Linked DNA regions of Sus scrofa. The protein of the gene in region 2 interacts with the protein of the main gene of each other region in a pairwise test. Links are inferred from orthologs where the notes say so. Each region holds a gene or a part of one and is shown on either strand. Other genes may lie near its edges.

Evidence for each region. The genes of interacting proteins can lie anywhere in the genome.
Region 1: the proteins of RINT1 (region 2) and TXLNA interact in binary tests that used the Homo sapiens proteins (3 or more experiments, as listed by UniProt). The two-hybrid records come from large-scale screens. The link is inferred for Sus scrofa from reciprocal best matches to the Homo sapiens genes RINT1 and TXLNA.
Region 3: the proteins of RINT1 (region 2) and C2H19orf25 interact in binary tests that used the Homo sapiens proteins (3 or more experiments, as listed by UniProt). The link is inferred for Sus scrofa from reciprocal best matches to the Homo sapiens genes RINT1 and C19orf25.
Region 4: the proteins of RINT1 (region 2) and DCX interact in binary tests that used the Homo sapiens proteins (3 or more experiments, as listed by UniProt). The two-hybrid records come from large-scale screens. The link is inferred for Sus scrofa from reciprocal best matches to the Homo sapiens genes RINT1 and DCX.

The regions. Positions count from the first base shown.
Region 1 is NC_010448.4:88,658,409-88,663,127, reverse strand, and holds the start of TXLNA (alpha-taxilin), read right to left. Parts: upstream 3,078-4,719; 5' UTR 2,923-3,077; intron 2,692-2,922; exon of another isoform or gene 2,625-2,691; intron 2,387-2,624; 5' UTR 2,355-2,386; coding exon 2,177-2,354; intron 1,350-2,176; coding exon 1,020-1,349; intron 1-1,019. UniProt on the Homo sapiens protein: May be involved in intracellular vesicle traffic and potentially in calcium-dependent exocytosis in neuroendocrine cells.
Region 2 is NC_010451.4:105,391,355-105,396,067, forward strand, and holds the start of RINT1 (RAD50-interacting protein 1), read left to right. Parts: upstream 1-1,498; 5' UTR 1,499-1,655; coding exon 1,656-1,697; intron 1,698-2,015; coding exon 2,016-2,061; intron 2,062-4,713. UniProt on the Homo sapiens protein: Involved in regulation of membrane traffic between the Golgi and the endoplasmic reticulum (ER); the function is proposed to depend on its association in the NRZ complex which is believed to play a role in SNARE assembly at the ER.
Region 3 is NC_010444.4:76,997,210-77,002,058, forward strand, and holds the start of C2H19orf25 (UPF0449 protein C19orf25 homolog), read left to right. Parts: upstream 1-1,772; 5' UTR 1,773-2,027; coding exon 2,028-2,157; intron 2,158-4,398; coding exon 4,399-4,625; 3' UTR 4,626-4,849.
Region 4 is NC_010461.5:91,641,496-91,646,058, reverse strand, and holds the start of DCX (neuronal migration protein doublecortin), read left to right. Parts: upstream 1-1,486; 5' UTR 1,487-1,640; intron 1,641-4,038; exon of another isoform or gene 4,039-4,097; intron 4,098-4,563. UniProt on the Homo sapiens protein: Microtubule-associated protein required for initial steps of neuronal dispersion and cortex lamination during cerebral cortex development. May act by competing with the putative neuronal protein kinase DCLK1 in binding to a target protein.

The DNA of each region.
Region 1 (4,719 bases), on a different chromosome or scaffold from region 2:
ATTAGTTGCCAACTGTAAAAAATCTAGAGATGTCACATAATAACCCTAGATTTCTGGCTTAAAAAACAAATGCCAGGAGTTACCGTCGTGGCGCAGTGGTTAACGAATCCGACTAGGAACCATGAGGTTGCGGGTTCGGTCCCTGCCCTTGCTCAGTGGGTTAACGATCCGGCGTTGCCGTGAGCTGTGGTGTAGGTTGCAGACGCGGCTCGGATCCCCCGTTGCTGTGGCTCTGGCGTAGGCCGGTGGCTACAGCTCCGATTCGACCCCTAGCCTGGGAATCTCCATATGCCGTGGGAGCGGCCCAAGAAATAGCAGCAACAACAACAACAAAAAGACAAAAGACAAAAAAAAAAAAAAAAAAAAAACCAAACAGAAAACAAAAAACAAATGCCAGCTACAGTTAGCCTGTAGTTTTCCATGCTATCGTCTCACCTGGGGCCAGGTGGCAGTCAAGCCTTTGAATAAAGCAGGCATTCTCTTGGTCCTCATGGGTGCCTCTGGCTAGCTTGGCTTTATTTGAGTTTTCAACCTCATCTAATCCAATTCTCTTATTGTGTAGAGAAGTGAAAACCAAGGACCAGAGAGGAGAAAGGTCTCGCCCAAGGTCACACAGCAAGTTAGAAGTGGTGCTGGCTGAAGAGGACTGACCACTCAGGCCTCCTTCTTTCCATCTTCTCAAAGAGAGCAGGTTAGACTTCGGTTCCCGCTTGCTCCCAGGCTAGAAGCCCTTGTGCAGTGAACCTGCACGTCTCTATGCTATGGTCCTGCAGCCCCTGCTCTCATTAAACTATGTAGGTTGAAAATGTTCTCAAATCAGGTTGTGATGATGGTTGTACAGGTATAAATGTAATAAACCCGCTGAATGAAAAAAACATTAGAAAAAACAAAAACAAAAAGTAAGTAGCTGCTCTGGAAGTAGTGTTTCCTCCAAATCCTGGCACAGCAGGCTAACCCAGGAATGTCAGATTCAAACTCCCTCCCCTCACCAGCCTCATAAGCAGCTGCCCTCTGCTCACCTAGACCTTTGGCTTTCTTCTTTTCCTGGGGCCTTCGGTGGTCTCGGTCTACGACCTCGTCACTTGCCCGGATCTCGTCTGCGCCCGGCTCCCCCTTGGAGGGCTCCTTCTCACCATTGACTACTGGGGTCTCTGGCTCAGGCTCCCCATTCCTTGAGGCATAGGTCCGGGACTTCTCTGCATCTTCAGGTTCACCAGGCTCACCCTGTGCCCCATCTTCGCCTGGGCCCCCCTGATTGTTGTCTATACAGTATGTACTGAGGATGTCTTCCAATTGGCGGCTCAACTCCTCTGAGACATCACGGAGGGCCCCAGTTTTGGCTTGTGCTCCTGCAGCAGGAGGGATGAGGGGCAGAGTCAGAAATAAGACCATTATGCCACTGGCTGGGATTTTTTCAGGCCCAAACTTACTAGTTTGGGTTAAATGTTACCTAACTTCTTTAAACCTCAGTTTTATTACTGATAAAACTATTTCTCACCTCTGCCCAACCATGCTTGTTATAAGAGAAATCAAGTAAGGAGACCACCCAACACAGAGGTGGCATCATGTAGCAGGAACTCAAGGTCTAGTCCACCTGCAAATGTCACTTCTTGCTATTAAAAAAGTTCCAAGAGTTCCCGTTGTGGTGCAGCAGAAACGAATCTGACTAGTATTCATGAAGACTCAGGTTCGACCCTTGGCCTCACTTAGTAGGTGAGGGATCCTGTGTTGCTGTGACTGTGGTGCAGGCTGGCAGCTGTAGCTCCAATTCGACTTGAGCCTGGGCACCTCCATATGCCTAGGGTGGGGCCCTAAGAAACAGAAAAAAAAGAAAAAAAAAAAAAAGTTCCAGAAATGCCTCAAATAGGAATAGCAGTTACCCACTGCTGAAAGTGGTGTTTTTGATTTGCTGGTTGGGTGCCTCATTTGACTGCCAACCTGACTTAATCCTGTCAGAAGCTTCTCTCAGGAGAGTTCTGTCCCTGTGCTTAGGGTGGGAGGCTCTATCAACTCCCCAGCGCAGAGTGGGCACTCAAGGACTCAGTGGTGTCCTCCCCTCATTCTACATTTCCTCCCTTCTGGATAAACAGTGGCCTTGGCTTCTAACCCCAGAAGCTAGACTGACGCACCATAAACTCCTCCCCCTGCCCATTGGAAAAGCAGAGCTGGCACACACCCTCAGCCTTCCCTGGAGCCTGGCTGGTGGAACCTTCAGCTTCTGTCGTGGGAGCAGACTGGCTGGGCCGCCCCTGGCCTCCCTCTGGTCCTGCTTCCGGTTGCCCCGGGGTGTTTTTGGGGTTGGAAGTGTGGCCAGATTGCTTGGCAGCCCCATTCTTTTTGTCTTGGTTCTTCATTGTTGTTTGCAACGTTAGGTTATGAGCAGAACCTATAGAAACAAATACACTTGCTATTTTCCAGACTTTAAACAATTCTTCGCAGCCTGGATCTGATATCTCCACACCGGACCCGCAAAGCTTCTTAAACCGACCGGCCTTCCTCGGATGGGAGCCAGTGGGGCTCCCTATCTCTGGTCGGTCAGGGAAGTCTGGTGTGCCCAACAGCAGGGGAGAGGAGGCCTCCTTTTTCCCCGAAGCTACTTCCCCGGCACAACCCAGCCCTCTCACCACAGCCCGTGCGCCGGACAGGCTCAGGCCCAGGGACTGACGTGGCGGGACGCTGGATTCCCGGTTCCTCCCCGCCCCCCAGGCCCCACGTGTGCCCACCCCCCCGCGCGCGCGCGCAGCCACCCACGCCCCGCGCGCCCTCCAGCCGCGCGCTCCGCCCGCGCATGCGCACAGGCCTCGGCCCCTGCACTCCAGCCCGAGTCCTCGTGCGGAATCGGCGTAATTCCCTGAACCGTCCGAAGGCGTCGGGCCCCGGGCCCTCTGCTTGCCTTGTACCCCTAACCGACGCAATACGCACCCCACCGCCGACGTCCCGACGGCTTCTCCTGCTCTGGCCTCTCACCGGAAACCCTGGGTAACTGCTGCCGGCAGAGCCGCCTGCTCGCGCCGCGGCCAATCAATAGCCCGCGCTCTCGCGGGGCTTGCTGGGAAAGTTGAAGCGAAGGCGGCCTCTGAGGCGGGTGAGTTGGGAAGGCGGAGTGGGGGGGTGGAGGGACAGAAAGGACTACATGTCCCTCCATGCACCGGGCTGATCCCGACTCCCAAGCTGCAACAGGGCTTTCGTTCTTGGAGCCCAGACCCAGGAGGTCCGAAAGCAGCCAGTCATTCTGCACTGGTACTCACGTCAACCTCCTTTCCATCACGCAGAAGTTATGATTCAGCTCCCAGAGCCTTGCGCCTGGCTGCTTTTTCCCCGCACACCTCAACCCCGTCCTTCCCTCCTGCTGAGGATATCTGTGACTATCTAGGAACTCTGAGGACGAGGGATAAAATACGGTGCTGGACATCAGATCTGTATTCCTTCCAGTCCTAATTTCATCACTAATTTGTTATGTGACCGGGCATTCTTTTCATTCCCAGAGCCTCGATTTCCGTATTCCTATAGAAAATTTTAATAACAGTAGTTCTTTGAATGCTAGCTTTCCCAGTAACTACTCCAGATAAATACTGTAGTATTTGTTACTCTCAATTTACACCTGTTAGGTGATTGTCCAAGGTCACATAGCTATTGACTGATTAGAGCAGTTTCAAAGCCAGGAAGTCTGGCACCCATCTCAACTACTGGACTACCCTGCTTCTTACTCAGGAAGAAATAATCACCATGATGCGCTTTCCTTGAGGGTGAGTCAAGGTAACTTGGAAAAGTAAATACTTAATTTCCCATCCCCATTTCCACCTTGAGTCCCTCTTTGGAAGGTGCTGAGGCCCTGTAAGGGGAAGTTTGGTTTCAGCAGATTCCTGAGCCTTTTCTTTGGCCCACTCCTACCAAGTCCCAGTTGCACTGGTGCTAAAGGGGAAAAATAGCCAAGCTTTTCTCAAAATGTGAAATCACAATTCTTTTTCCATTTGTCTGTAGACAACAGAATAAAACACAGCAACCTATGTGCTTGGATTTTTTTTTTTTTTTTTTTTTTTTTTAAGGGCTGCACCTGCGGCATATGGAAGTTCCCAGGCTAGGGGTCTAATCAGAGCAGTGGCTGCCAGCCTGCACCACAGCCATAGCAACGCCAGACCCGAGCCACATCTGTGACCTACGCTGCAACTCATGGCAATGCCAGATTCTTAACCCACTGAGTGAGGCCAGGGATCGAACCTGTGTCCTCATGGATGCTAGTTGGATTCTTTACCTCTGAGCCACAACAGGAACTCCTGTGCTTGAAATTTAATGCCTAAATGGTTTTGCTTTTATTTCCTGTCAATCCTCCTCATCCCCTTGGCCTTTTAAAAAAAATTATTAAAGCGTAGTTGATTTACAATGTTTCGTCCCCCTCTGCCTTTTTTGTTCCAGCTATACTTTTACTGTTTCCAGGATTTCCCAGGTTTTTGCAGGTGCCATACCATTGTCGATGAAAAAAATGTTACCTGCCATATCAGTAAACAAAGGATGTTGCAGCCATCAAGCCATCACATTACAGCTGCCCAAAGGTGAGCCCTGGGGGAACTCAGGGTAGAAACAAATTGCCTGCCATCTAGCAGTCTGTGCTGCAGTCACCCTCCCGCCCAAGCCCATAGAGCACCCTGAGGAGACTCAGGATGAAAAAGCACCTGATAGTGGCCCCAGTTAGCTGAGTTGCATATCAAAGGAAATAAGCCC
Region 2 (4,713 bases):
ATGAGGGTTTAGCTTTTGTTCTCCTCCACCCAACCCCACCACTACCACACTTGCCTTTCTTTTATTTTATCCGTCCAATATGGTTACATTGTACTTTGGCTGCCCTGACATTGTGTCTGTAAGGATGCAAGTTCAATACCTGGCCTCACTCGGTGGGTTAAGATCTGACTCCCTGGCCTGGGAACTCCATATGCTCCATATGCTCAATGGGTTAAGGATCCAGATTTGCCCTGAGCTGTGGTGTAGGTCGTAGATGCGGCTCGGACTCTGTGTTGCTGTGACTGTGGTGTAGGCCAGTGGCTATAGCTCCATTTTGATCCTAGCCTGGGAACCTCCATATGCCTTAGGCGCAGCCCTAAAAGACAAAAAAATAAAATAAGGAGTGCCTGTCATGGCTCAGTGGTTAAGGAACCCGACTAGTACCCATGAGAACGGGATTTGATCCCTGGCCTTGCTCAGTGACTTAAGGATCCGGGTTGCCGTGAGCTGTGGTGTAGGTCACAGATGTGGCTTGGATCCCGTGTTGCTATGGCTGTGGCGTAGGCCAGCGGCTACAGCTTCGATTGGACCCCTAGCCTGGGAACCACCATATGCTGTGGGTGTGGCCCGAAAAAGACAAAATAAAAATAAAATAAAATAAAATAGTAGACTGTTGGAGTTCCCTGGTTGCTCAGTGGGATAAGGATCCGGCCTTGTCACTGCTGTGGCTCCGGTTACTGCTATGGTGAGTTCAATCCCTAGCCGGGGAATTACCGTTATTGTGGCCAAAAAGTAAAAACAAAATAGTAGCTCGTGATTGTTTTATAGTCGCAGTGGCGTCATATCTCAGGACATAAATAAATAAATACAATGTTCTCATTGAATCGGTTCTGTTTTCTCTAAGGGTTGCTTTTTCTCCCTTTCTCTGTTAGTTTTAGTCTCAATGGTACCACTTTACATGTTTATTTTTGAAGTTGTCGCATCCCTGAATTCTCTACCTATATCATGCTGCCAGTCCTGGTCCTCCTCCCTGGCAAAGTACAGACTTTGATCTGAAGTATATATTAGATGCTGAGTCCTTTCCCTCTGTTCTGCTCCCAGAATGTTTACAATCAGATCTGCACCCTTCAGGTAGGAAGTTGAAGTGTAACTTGTAGTTAAATCTGATTAGCTTTAAAAGAATGATCCAAAGATACTGACATTGGAAATTATGCGATTAAACCACCCAACCAAATTACATTACTACTTGTCAACAAGCTCCCTCACACTCTCAGAACATCTGGGATATCCTCTAAAATATAAGTTGAAATGATTCATAATGAATTTACAGTGTGGAAGGAAGGATACTTTGAATCTCCATCATTAATGTTTCCAAAGCAGTGAAGGAGGTTTTACTTAGAATGACAAGGACTGCCTTTGCTCGCCCCCTTTTCTTCTTCCAGAGCGTCCGATCCGGATCCAAGCCGGCAGGGGGCGCCACCGCGCAAGACCGGCAACTGCGCGAGAAGGGCCTCTCTGGAAAGAAAGGAAGAAACCAGAGAGACGGCAGAGGAAGTTGCCGTGGCGTCCAACGCTAAGGTCTCGAAAGGTTCAGCCGCTGTCTAGCCGCTGGCCGGAGCCAGGGTCCACTGACCACGCTGGCTGCACATGGAACCGAGGACTCGCGCGGAGGCAGGATGCTCCCGGCCAGCGAGATCGGCGAAGCGCCAGCAACCCCGGTGAGGGGGCCCTAGTGGCCGCGGGAGGGGACACTGGTGGCCCAGTGAGGTGGCATAGACCTCTCAGGAGAGGTAATCCCAATGCAGTGGCTGTGGCGATACCGATGAGATGACACAGATCTTTCTGGGGAGGTGGCTGTGGTGGCCTCAAGGAGCTAGCCCTTTTTGGAACCTGCATCAGATCGCACCTCAGGAAGTCTCCAGGGGGGAGGGGTCTGGAACCTTGGGGTCCTCCCGTGGATGCCCTCTGGGAACCCTGTATGAATTTCACTTATTGCTTCAGTCTTAATGTGTTTGTCACACCTGCTCTCCTTCTAGTGCTGTTCTGAAAATGGTGACCAAAGGAAGGATGTCAAGGACAAAAGTAAGCAGACTCCGAACGCCTTTGCACTTTCCACTCAGCATTTCTCCAAAATTCAGTCCTGCAGGGTCTACATCCAAGAAGGATGGTACCTTGTTATTTTTTAGATGAAGCACCTTTTTTTTTTTTTTTATTTCCGTAGAGTATCCTTTCCTAGTATTAAATACTGATTATTATCATACATATATTTTTGGCTTTCAGGATTGTACAATATGGGATGATTTGGAGAAGAAGGCTTCCTGACTCCTACCTAGTGCAGGAACTGGTGGAGTCTCACTCAATACTGGACTTAAATTAGTTGGGAACTGCCTGTTATTGCAATGAAGCATCAACTTAATAAGCATCACGAGTTAGAACGGGCTGATGATCTAGGAGAGATAACCTCCACCTGTGTTGGGTTTAAAGGAGTCAAATGATAACTTTTCCTATTGGCTTGCCTTTAATTAGACTTAGCCCATATGCTTTTACAAGTGGAATCAATCAGAGGACAAGCGTGTAGGGGAATAATTTTTCAGTACTTGCCTTGTAAACTCAAATTCTTCTTTGAGGGAGGTCTTTGGTGGCCTAGATCTCTGGTTAGGACTCAGTGCTTTCACTGCTGCAGCCCAGGTTTGATCCCTGGTCTGGGAACTGAGATCCCACATCAGGCTGCTGCACTTGGCAGCCCCCCAGGCCCAAAAGAATCTGGTAGTAAAATTAAAAACAAATTGTTTGGAGTAAATCAAGCATTTACTGTTCACAGGGTTTTTTGTGAGTTGCAAAATATTTTTCCCAGTATCCCCCCATTCATTCTCTGTTACCACCATCAGACAGAAAGGGTGAGGACACTTTTTTCTTGCCTCTGTAGGGGATACCTTAGCAGCAGATGGTAACTGCTCCAGGCCTGTCAAATAGATGCCTTCAAATGATAATTAGTTATACTCTATCTTCAGTGAATTAGCACATAAAAGTTGATTTGGGAAGGGCACAACAGACAACTTGGTTCCTGGTTCTTGAACTGAACCCAGAAGAAGGAAAGATCATTATTTCCATTTCCTACCTAAGATAAAAGCATATATATGCCAGGGATGTAGACATGTGCCATTTTATTTTAATGAGCTAGGCATGGCACACTGGTGGAAATCAAGGAATATTCAGGGGCCTTTGGAGGGAAATTTACTGGGAGAGGAAGAGGGAAGCATGTAACAGCTGTTTCATCAGAGTGTTTTGGTTCTTCTGGCCGTGGCACATAGCCTGGGAATGAATAGTAATAGAAAGGGTGCCTAAGTTACCATATTAGTTTTAGGGGTTAGACCTGCCCTTAACATTGCCTCCTGCTACAGTCTGCCTCAGAAAGAAAGCTTTAACTACTTCATAGTGCTTGCCAGTCACAGCTGCCACAACTCAGCTCCTTTTCCTTAAAGGATTTGAGAGTACCTCCTGTACCTCTCTCAATTAAACACTTTCTTTTTCTTTTTTTTTTTTTTTTTGTCTTTTTGCTATTTCTTTGGGCCGCTCCCTCGGCATATGGAGGTTCCCAGGCTAGGGGTCTAATCAGAGCTGCAGCCACCGGCCTACGCCAGAGCCACAGCAACTCGGGATCCGAGCCGCGTGTGCAACCTACACCACAGCTCACGGCAACGCCGGATCGTTAACCCACTGAGCAAGGCCAGGGACCGAACCCGCAACCTCATGGTTCCTAGTCGGATTCGTTAACCACTGCGCCACGATGGGAACTCCCAACACTTTATTTTTCTACCTTTGCCCCACTCATATGTTTGGGAAGTTGATGCCATTAAGCTGTGGACTTTGTCCTTGACCTTCCTTTGGTGGCTTGGTCAACTTCTTTGCAATTAGAAGTGCTCCTTACAAAAAACAGGAAAAGAGACATCACCCCTACGCCATCAGCAGTGTGTCATTTTGAAGAATGTCATTTGACTAAGACTGTACTATGCTACATTTAAATGGTTAAATCAAAAGAATATAATTTTTACTTTTTTATTTTTTAAAGTATAGTGCCACTTTCTGTCTTACAGGAAAATGACCCAGTTATACATTCCTATACAGTAGGACCTTATTTCTTTTCCATTCTAAGTGTAACAGTTTGCATCTACTAACCCAAAACTCCCAGTCTATCCCACTCCCTCCCTCTCCTCCTTGGCAAGCACAAGTCTGTTCTCTATGGTCTGTGAGTCTGTTTCTGTTCTGTGTATAGGTTCATTTGTGCCATTTTTTGGGGGGGGGGCTGTTGAAAAAGAGCTGCACCTGCAGCATATGAAAATTCCCAGGTTAGGGGTCAAATTGGAGCTGTAGCCGCCAGCCTATGCCACAGCTACAGCAACGCCAGATCCTTAATCCCCTGAGTTAGGCCAGGGATTGAACCCGAAACCTCATGATTACTAGTCGGATTTGTTTCCATTGCGCCACAGTGGGAACTCCCTTACCATTCTTCTTAAGGAGGTTCCACATCACCTGTTTTTGTCACATTTAGTAAGTCCAGTGTGAATTGGCCCAACTCTAGTTTCTTTGCTGTGGAACCTTTCCCTTTCTCCCTTCCTTCCTTCCTTCATTTCTTTTGTTTTTTGGGACCTCCCCATGGCATATGGGAGTTCGAAGGCTAGGGGTCAAGTTGAAGCTGTACCTGCTTGCCTACACCATAGCCACAGCAACAGCAAC
Region 3 (4,849 bases), on a different chromosome or scaffold from region 2:
TCTGGCTGTGGTTGCCATGAGCTTTGGTGTAGGTTGCAGATGTGGCTTGGATCTGGCATTGCTGTGGCTGTGGCGTGTAGGCCAGTGGCTACAGCTTTGATTTGACCCCTAGCCTGGGAACATCTGTATGCTGTAGGTGCGGCCCTAAAAAGACCAAAAAAAAAAAAAAAAAAAGTATCTAGTCTGTCCTCACATACATCAATAGGGTGGCAACCTGTTCCTTCTGATTTTCAGAGCCGTAAGGTGGTTTCCACAAAGGAGTGGAGGCTGGTTTTGCCTTGACCATGGGCTTCACTTGGACTCCAAGGGGGTAGTCCTGGTTTGTAGCAGGAGTCCAGACACACACCCTTCCAGTGCCCCTGGTCATCTGAGAATCTGCTTGGCTACCAGGCTTGGGTTGGGCAGCCTCAAGCCTTCAAGGGACTCAGGTTCTGTCTAGGGCTGCAGCTGGACCCACTGGAAGCAGGAGGTGGGTAAGGGAGGAGACAGCCATCTGCTCTCCTAGACCTGCCTGCATGCCTAGAGTCCCACCCAGCTCTGCCCAGCTCTGGAGTTAGGCCTGAAGTGGTGTCTGGCTCTGCAAATCCAGGCTGCGTGTCCAGAGGCACCTGGCTGCCTTCTCAGAGCCTCCGTAGCCATCCTGTGCAGCAGCATGAAGTCTGGCACCTGCCTCACCAAATACTCTTGAGGGTCAAGAGGTAATTTTCCCACCTGGCACACAGTAAATGCCCAAAACATGCCAGCTTGGGGCAGTCACTTTGGGAAATAGGTCCATAGTCAGTTAAACATAGAGTTACCATATGACCTAACAGTTCTGCTCCTAAGTATGTACCCAAGAAAACTAAAGACACATTCACACAACACTTGTAAGAATGTTCACAGCAGCATGATTCACAGCAGACAAAATATGGAAACAACATTGTTGGATGATGGGCAAACATTATATGGTCCCTTCATGCACAGGAGCATCCCTCAGTCATGAAAGAGAGAGAAGCACCGACACTGGCTGCCATGTGAACGGACCTTGAGACCACGATGCTCAGAGAAAGGCACACTTGTGTGATTCCATGAATGTGATACGCCAAGAACAGACAAATTCATAAACATAGTGGATTGTTAAGGGATGGGGTGATGAGGATGAGGGAATGTTCTGGCTTTAGACTGCGGTGATGGTTGCACAACTTCTCTGTCTTTCTGTCTGTCTCTCTCCTATATATATTCCAAAACCATTGAATTGTACACTTTAAGCAGGTGGACTTTATAGTATGTAAATTATATAAAGCTGTTTAAAAACGCCCTCCTTGGGCTCTGTGGTGGTCTTCAGTCCTAGCCAAGAGGCGGGGGCCAAGATCACCCTCCAGAGCTACGGCCCCACCCAGGTAGGGAGGGGGTTTTAGACAAGGGAGAGGCAACCTTGAGAGGGATCCCGGAGGTTGGCCACCTCGCTGGGAACTGGTGGCCCGCTACGTGGTGAGAGACTGCACCGTAAATTTGTTGCTACGACAGCCACGTAGATTGAGGACTGCGTCTCCCTTTTGCAAAAAACCGGGCTTCAGATGCTTTGTTAGGCAGAGAGAAGAGCCGGGAACAGGACCCTGCGCCCACCCCTCGGGGGAGAGGCTGAAGTCTCATCCTTTCTGGTTCTGGTCCAATCGTTTCTTCGATCGCACCAGAACCCTGGAGGGAGCGGCCTCTTTAAGGGGGCGTGGCTTTCACGAGCCGGGGAGGATCCGGCCGGAAGCGTGTGTCTCTTGCGAGTAGGGTGGGACTGTACCGTGACCGGAAGCGGAAATGGTCGGTCGGCCGCGGAGGCGGTGCAGGTGAGTTGGCGCTGGCGGCAGCAGCCTCAGCGGGAAACTGAGGCTTGAGTGAAGGGGAACGCTGAAGCCCCTGGCTCCGTGTTGTTCAGCCCTTGGGAGGATCAGGGCAGGAAGGGCTTCGCCAGGAGCGGGGAACTGGAGCGTGTGTAGAAATTCGTTGGGCGCGAGGAACAACCCCGTCAACACTTCCTTCTCCGGTCTACCGGGATGAGCTCCAAGACCAAGAAGCGCGTGGTGCTGCCCACCCGCCCGGCGCCCCCTACAGTGGAGCAGATCTTGGAGGACGTGCGGGGGGCCCCTGCCGAGGACCCCGTCTTCACCGCTCTGGCTCCTGAAGGTAGGGGAGAGGCGACCCCGAGAGGCCAGCAGGAAGGGGTGGGGAAAAGTACCTGGCTGCTTTTAAGACAGAAGGGCAGAGTTCAGTATTCAGGACAGAAATTATCTAGCCCTGAAATGCCAAAAATACTTGCATCTGGCCTTTTGCAGAAAAAGTGTGTCCGCCCCTGTTCAGAAGATGGAAGCAGATCCGTGACTTCAGGGTTGGGCATACAGTTGTAGGGTGAATTTTGTGTTCTGCTCTATGAGGTTCATTATTCATTCAACAAACTTTCATTGAGGAGTGACCCCTCGTGGTTCAGCGGTTAACGAACCCAACTAGGATCCATGAGGATGCCGGTTTGATCCTTGGCCTCGTTCAGTGGATTAAGGATCCGGCGTTGCTGTGAGTTGCAGTGTAGGTCGCAGACGCAGCTCGGATCCTGTGTTGCTGTGGCTGTGAGGTAGGAGGGCAGCTGCAGCTCAGATTTGACCCTTAACCTGGGGACTTCCATATGACACGAGTGAGGCCCTTAAAAAAAAAAAAAAAAGCAAAGAAACAAACCTTCATTGAGACCGTATTATGGGCCGGAATCTGTTCTAAGCACTGAGGTGGAAAAACGAACAAAAAGATTAAAGTGTCTGCCTTGCTCCATTCTAGTGGGTATTGACATTCAGTATAAGGCTTGTGGGACTCTAGAAGATGAGAATAGGAGTTCTCGCTGTGGCACAGTGGGATAGGCAGTGTCTCTGCAGTGCCAAGACTCAAGTTTGATCCCTGGCCCAGCACAGCGGGTTAAAGGATTCTGCGTTGCCACAGCTAGGACATAGTAGCATCTGCAGCCTGGATCTGATCCCTGACCTGGGAACTTCCATATGCTACTGGTGTAGCCATTAAAAAAAAGAAAAAAATTCAGTTCTTTGTTACACGTGGCCACATTTCAAGTGCTCAGCAGCCCGCTTGTGCCAGCTGCTGCATTGGATAGCTACATTGGAGGATATTTCCATCACCTGGAATGTTGCGATTGAGAGGCCAGCCCAAGCAACAGGAGCCATGTTTATCCCTGGCTCACAGTTGGGTCATCGGAGGCTGCTTGAATCCCAGCCTTATGAATCACGGGTCCAGGAGTTCACGTCATGGCTCAGCGGTAACAAAGCTGACTAGCATCCATGAGGGTTCGGGTTCGATCCATGGCCTCACTCAGTGGATTAAGGATCCAGCATTGCTGTGATCTGTCCTGTAGGTTGCAGACATGGATGGTTTGGATCCTGTGTTGCTGTGGCTATGGCATAGGTTGACGGCTGCAGCTGCAATTCGACCCCTAGCCTGGGAACTTCCATATGCCACGAGTGCTGCCCTAAAAAAGCAAAAAAAAAAAAAAGGAAAGAAAAAAAAAAGAAATCATGGGTCCAGGTTCCCAGCATCCAGAGGTTGAGGGCATGAGGAATGGGCAGTGCCAGGGCTCACTCTAGGGAGAGGGGGCTTCTCTGCTGGCCTGTGTTCCTGTCAAGGACCATCCTTGGCCTCCATGTGCACTGTCTGGCCTGTCCTACCTTGTTACTAAAGCAGGTGATAAAGTGATTTATTTTTACTTTTTTTAGGGCTGCACCTTTAGCAAATGGACATTCCTGGGTTAGGGATTATATTGGAGTTTGCAGCTGCTGGCCTAGGCCACAGCCACAGTAATGTGGGATCTGAGCAGCATCTGCGACCTACACCACAGCTCACAGCAACGCCGGATCCTTAACCCACTGAGCAAGGCCAGGGATTGAACCCACACCCTCATGGATACTAGTTGGGCTCATTACTGCTATGCCACAATGGGAACTCTAATAAAGTGATTTTTAATCAAATTGCTGTTTCTGGGCCTGTTTATAGACAAGGGGACCAGGCAGAGCAGAGAGGACCTTGACATGTCTCCAAGTGGCCCTGAAATCTGTGCTTTTTTGTGCTCACTGCTCCTCCCCTGGCACACCCTTTAGGAAGCAGAGTCATTGGGAAATATATGTCTGTTCCCTCTTTGCCACCTCCCGACCCCCTGAGTGTCACACACAGCCACGGAGAGCACAGATGAGAGCCAGTCTGCTGTCAGCTTCAGGGTTACCAGAAGCTGGATAGAGCTCACCCCTAGGCAGGGCCGTGGGATGGTGAAGTCAGGCCTCCTCTGTGACTTGTCCCCTCCAGTTCATTGCTTTCTTTGGGGGGTGAATTGGGTCCTCTCTGTGACCTGGGGGCAGTGATGCTGCCTTGTCCTGTCCCCAGATTCCCCAGGCCCCTCTTGGAGGGCTGAAGATGCTGAGGCCCAGCGAGAGCAGCTCTACCAGCAGAGTCGGGACTACGTGGCCACAAACCAGAGGCTGCGTCAGGCGGGGGCCCAGCTGAAGCAGAAGTGTGAGGGGCTGCGGCAAGCCGGCGAGGACCTGGAACTGGATGTCAGCCAGGTGGGGCAGGTGGCTCTGCCGGGTGCTGTGGTTGCCTCCTCGGGCTGACCTGGTTCAAAGGCTCAACTGGGTAGCACCCCCCCACCCCTCGCCCCTGGCTCTCTGGAACCTTGGTCCTTGCTTGGACACCTGGCCTGGCCCACATCTCACAGGGGCCCCTGGGTCTCAGAAGCAGAGTCTGGGCTGTCTGTTTCCAGCCTCGGCAGCTCTAGCACCCAGAGACCCCAGGGGACACAGCCGCCCAGGGTATGTGTCTGCAGCAGGGATGGTCT
Region 4 (4,563 bases), on a different chromosome or scaffold from region 2:
CAGCGATTGATTTCCCATCCCGCAATCACTCAGAAACGATAAATTCTCTCCACGAATGAATGTTCTCAGTTGTTAGACTGAAATCGGTGTTACACTCAGAAGGACTAAAGTGAGTTTCACTAGTGATTTTATTTTACGTCACAAAGGTTCAAATCGCTGTTCTTAGTTATTTTCTATCAAAAACCAAACCGGGCGATTCTAAGGCCCTTTACCTGCGTGGCTAATAACAAGATCTGCTTTCTGAAGGTCTTCTTTCAATGAATCCTTGTACCTGTAAACATCCAGAGTAAATGACTCAGTACTGAATGGTTCAGGTACCACCTTTCCTCTACCTATTTGTAGGACAAGTCGGTTGTAACCAAGGCTCTTGATTATCTGAAACGGGAAAAAAGAAAAAGGGACCCTTTTAAAACAGGCGACTGTAAAAACAGCAACTATGGCAACCAACTCCAAAATCGGAGCACGGGCGGCCAAAGAGTCGAACTGGAGCCGAAGTGTTAGTTTTCCTTCTTCCCCGATTCCGGGCCCGACAGGGCACCTCGCTAGCCCTGAGGGATCTAGACGCCCCAGCTCACCACATCGTGAGAGAAATGGGCCCGCAAGAACTAAGAGACCAGGCAAAGGCTCTGAAAAAGGTGTCGCGAGCTAGGGGGAGACCAAGGAACAGCTTCGTCGTGGTCCCACAGATGGAACTGCGCGAACCTCACGCCCTGAGAGGGCGCTGCGGGGATACCGGTCGCGAGGGCGCCTTAGGGAAGGAAAGGCGCCAGGGCCCGAACGCGGCGGGGCCGGACGAGGGCAGGACGGGGCGGCGCGCCAGGCTGAACTGGTCGGGCCGGGCCTGACGGAGCGCGTCGACCGCGCGGCCCCGAGCGGCCCTGAGGAGCGGCCGGCGAGGCGGGCAAGGGCCCGAGAGGCGGGTCGGAGCCCCGGCTCGGAGAGGCGGAGCCGCTAGAAGGAGGGGCGAAGCCGGAGGACGGAGAGGCGGAGGCGGAGAATCGGAGGGGAAAAGCCGGGGAAAAGGAGGAGCCGGAGAAAGGACGGGGAGGAGCGGCCCGGGAAGGCGGCGGGGAACGGGGAGAGGAGGCGGAGGACCCTGAGGAGCGGGGGAGTGGGAGGAGGGCCCAGCTGGGCGCGGGGAGGAGCCGGCCGAGGGGCGTCGGCACCTGAGGTCGAGCGGCTGGGGGTTCTTCCCGAGGACCGCGGTCAGGCAAGGTTACCGAGGTTAGCGGTCAGGCTGGCGGCGGCGGGCGGCGAGCAGCGAGCGGCGAGCGCAGCGCGGCGAGCCCAACCGCCGCCCGCCTGCCTCCCCCACTCACTTGCAGACTGTCGTGCGCCGATACACACGCAATCAGGTCGTCAAAGCTGGTGGTCCCTACAGTAACAAACACGCACTTCATCGCGCGGGTTCCGCAACCCCGAATCGCAAGGGCCGGATGTGACGTAGCAGAGCCACGCGGGCTGCCGCGGCAGCGCTGGGTGTGGGAGGCGGAAGTCGGCCCCAGCCGCCAGGGGGCAACGGGAACCCGGCCTGTGTTGCCGGGAATGGGAGGGGGCCAAAGACTGCTAATGGCCTACGTGCAGGCTACTGTTGTAAGCCCTTTGCGTGTAGAAGCTCACGGGACCCTCACAGTAAGGAGGTGGGCAATTGACAAATGTATTGTTTTTCAAAAGTGGGGGTTAAAACAAATAGTAGTGAAGCCTTACACCTTTGTGTTTGCATCCTTGCTCGAGTACCACAGATCTTTTAATGGTAGAGAAGTTTGGGATTCTTTTTTGGCTACCGTGTTTTGCCAAGATAACGTTTTACTTCAAGTCTGTGAAGGGCATCGGGAAAAAAAGAAGTGCCTTTTCAAAATCGCTCATTAGCCTAGGCTCTTCTTCAACAGCAGTTTTCGAGAAACCACAGCCCTACAAAGTCTCTTGGAAACTGCAGAGAAACCGTAATTTCCATTTGCAAGCATTGTTTGTAAAATAGAGGCGTTAAGCCCTGAAGCCCACATTTGTGTCGTTGAACCAATCCATTTAACCATTTAAATAATAAAATTACCATAAATTTACATTCTAATGAATGTAAAATTATATATTAGCATGACTGAATACCTCATATACTTAGGTTTATGAAGTGAAATACAGGAGAGTTGATTTCTGAAGGCTCCCCTTCTTTCTCCTTGCACCATTGCTAAGATCATTGCCTGCTTTAGCTCATTCTAATGGTTTGTGTATTTCCTACTTAAAATCTCAGTTTAGCTAATATTTATGCTTTGCCCTGACTGGTTATACATGGAAGGGAAACTATGAGAAGAAATTCTTTTCAACACAGAGGATTGGTAGTGAGTTAGGCCTACAACATAGGCTAAAAAAAAGAACAAATATTAGTCATATTTCTAATGGGACTGTTAAATCTTGCATTTTGACTAATTGTCTTTTTGAGGGGTGGTATACTGCTGCCTCTTTCTTGATACCAAATTTCATGAATTAATGAAACTACAGTTTCATAATAACAACATAGATCATGGTTAAATAATAAAGCAAACATAATCATATTTTCTGCCCCAAAATAAGAGGAATAAAGAATGTTTATTGGAATATAAAGACAAAAATACTCAGTAATTTAGAAAGACTGCATCTGATATCTTTTCCCATATCTGAAAGATGTAAATTAAAGGAGCACTGTTCTGATTAGCTCAGAGAAAATAAGCACATATATAAATTGAATATTCTTAAATTCCCAGAAAATAAGAAAACTGAATTTCTGATGAACCAAGCCCCCCCTAAAATTGAGCTTCCTTACCAATTAATGATTTATCTCTCCTTCCCTGAAACTATTCCCTTGCTTGTCTCCTCTGATCTCAATTCCTTTCTTGTCCCCTCTGACCTCAATCCTGTTCTAGCTGAACCCTAATCAGCCAGAGTCAGACGACTAAAATTGCTATTGTTATATCATCATTAAGGTAAAAACTCAGGTAGTTTCTCCAAGGCAAGATGAGCTCACAGGCCTCCGAGCCAGACCACCTGGCCAGAGAATCCTAAACCAGAGACCTCTTGACTCCTGAAATCACGATAAAGGAATGTCACAAGACAATGATTAATTCCAGCTTCTTCTTCCCCTTTAAAACATCCCTAACTAAAAGACCAAGAAGGAGTGGATCTGAGACCTGTATTCCTCTCCTTTGCTTGGTGCCTTGCAAATGAACATTTACTTTGCTGCAAATACCCTCTGCCAAGTTTGGCTTTCTATGCCTCAAGCAGAGGAGCCCCTGCTTAGTTACATTGATACATTTAAAGTGCTAGACTTTAATAAAACATCTTGCAGAAACATTTTAAGAACCCAAGATGACATAATTGATGGAAAATTCTGGCGATTAAGTCTTTTCTCTGTTTGGCAGTGTTAAATATAATACAAGCATGCACAATCATGTATCATTTTCCTAAACTTATACAGCCTTACTAGTTAAATAAATTAATGTTACTTCTAAAAAAAGGTTTTTTTAAGGCCACACCTGCAGCTTATGGACGTGCCCAGGCTAAGGGTCAATCGGAGCTGCAGCTGCCGACCTTCACCACAGCCACAGCAACACCAAATTCAAACCTTGTCTGCAAGCTACACCACAGCTGGGGGCAATGCCAGATCCTTAACCCACTGAGTGAGGCCAGGGACTGAGGGCAGGAATCGAACTGGCATCTTCATGGATACTAGTCAGGTTCTTAACCCAATGAGCCACAATGGGAACTCCTAAAAATGTTTTTGATTATGAAAATGTAAATTTCTTTTAAAGTCATGTTGAATCAGCATTCTGACAAACTTTGTTTCAACAGTAACTATGTTTTATAGTAAGCCAGCTTGAAGATAATTTCCAAGATCTTTTAAGCACCTTTAAAAAGATTGTGTATTGGCATTAATTGAGTTAATTAATGTGTAATTGTTGCACAACTACTTTTTAAGTAAAATAGAATATTGAAACATTAGTTTAAGCATAATTATTTTTTAATCAATATAAATTTTTTTATTTTATGATTTTTATTTTTTCACTATAGTTTATTTACAGTGTTCTGCCAGTTTCTACTGTACAGCAGAGAGACCCAGTCATATATATGTATGTATATATTATTTTTCTCACATTATCCTCCATCATGTTCCATCATAAGTGTCTAGATATAATTCCCTGTGCTATACAGCAGGATCTCATTGCTTATCCACTCCAAATGCAATAGTTTACACCTATTAACCCTAGACTCCCAGTCCATCCCACTCCCTCCCCCTCCCCCTTGGCAACCACAAGTCTCTCCTCTAAGTCCATGAGTTTCTTTTCTGTGGAAAGTTTTATTTGTGCCATATATTAGAATCCAGATATAAGTGATATCATATGGTATTTGGCTTTCTGTTTCTGACTTAACTTCACTTAGTATGAAAGTCTCTAGTTCCATCCATGTTGCTGCAAATGGCATTATTTTGTTCTTTTTTATGGCTGAGTAGTATTCCATTGTGTATATATACCACATCTTAATCCATTCATCTATCGATGGACATTTAGGTTGTTTCCATGTCTTGGCTATTGTGAA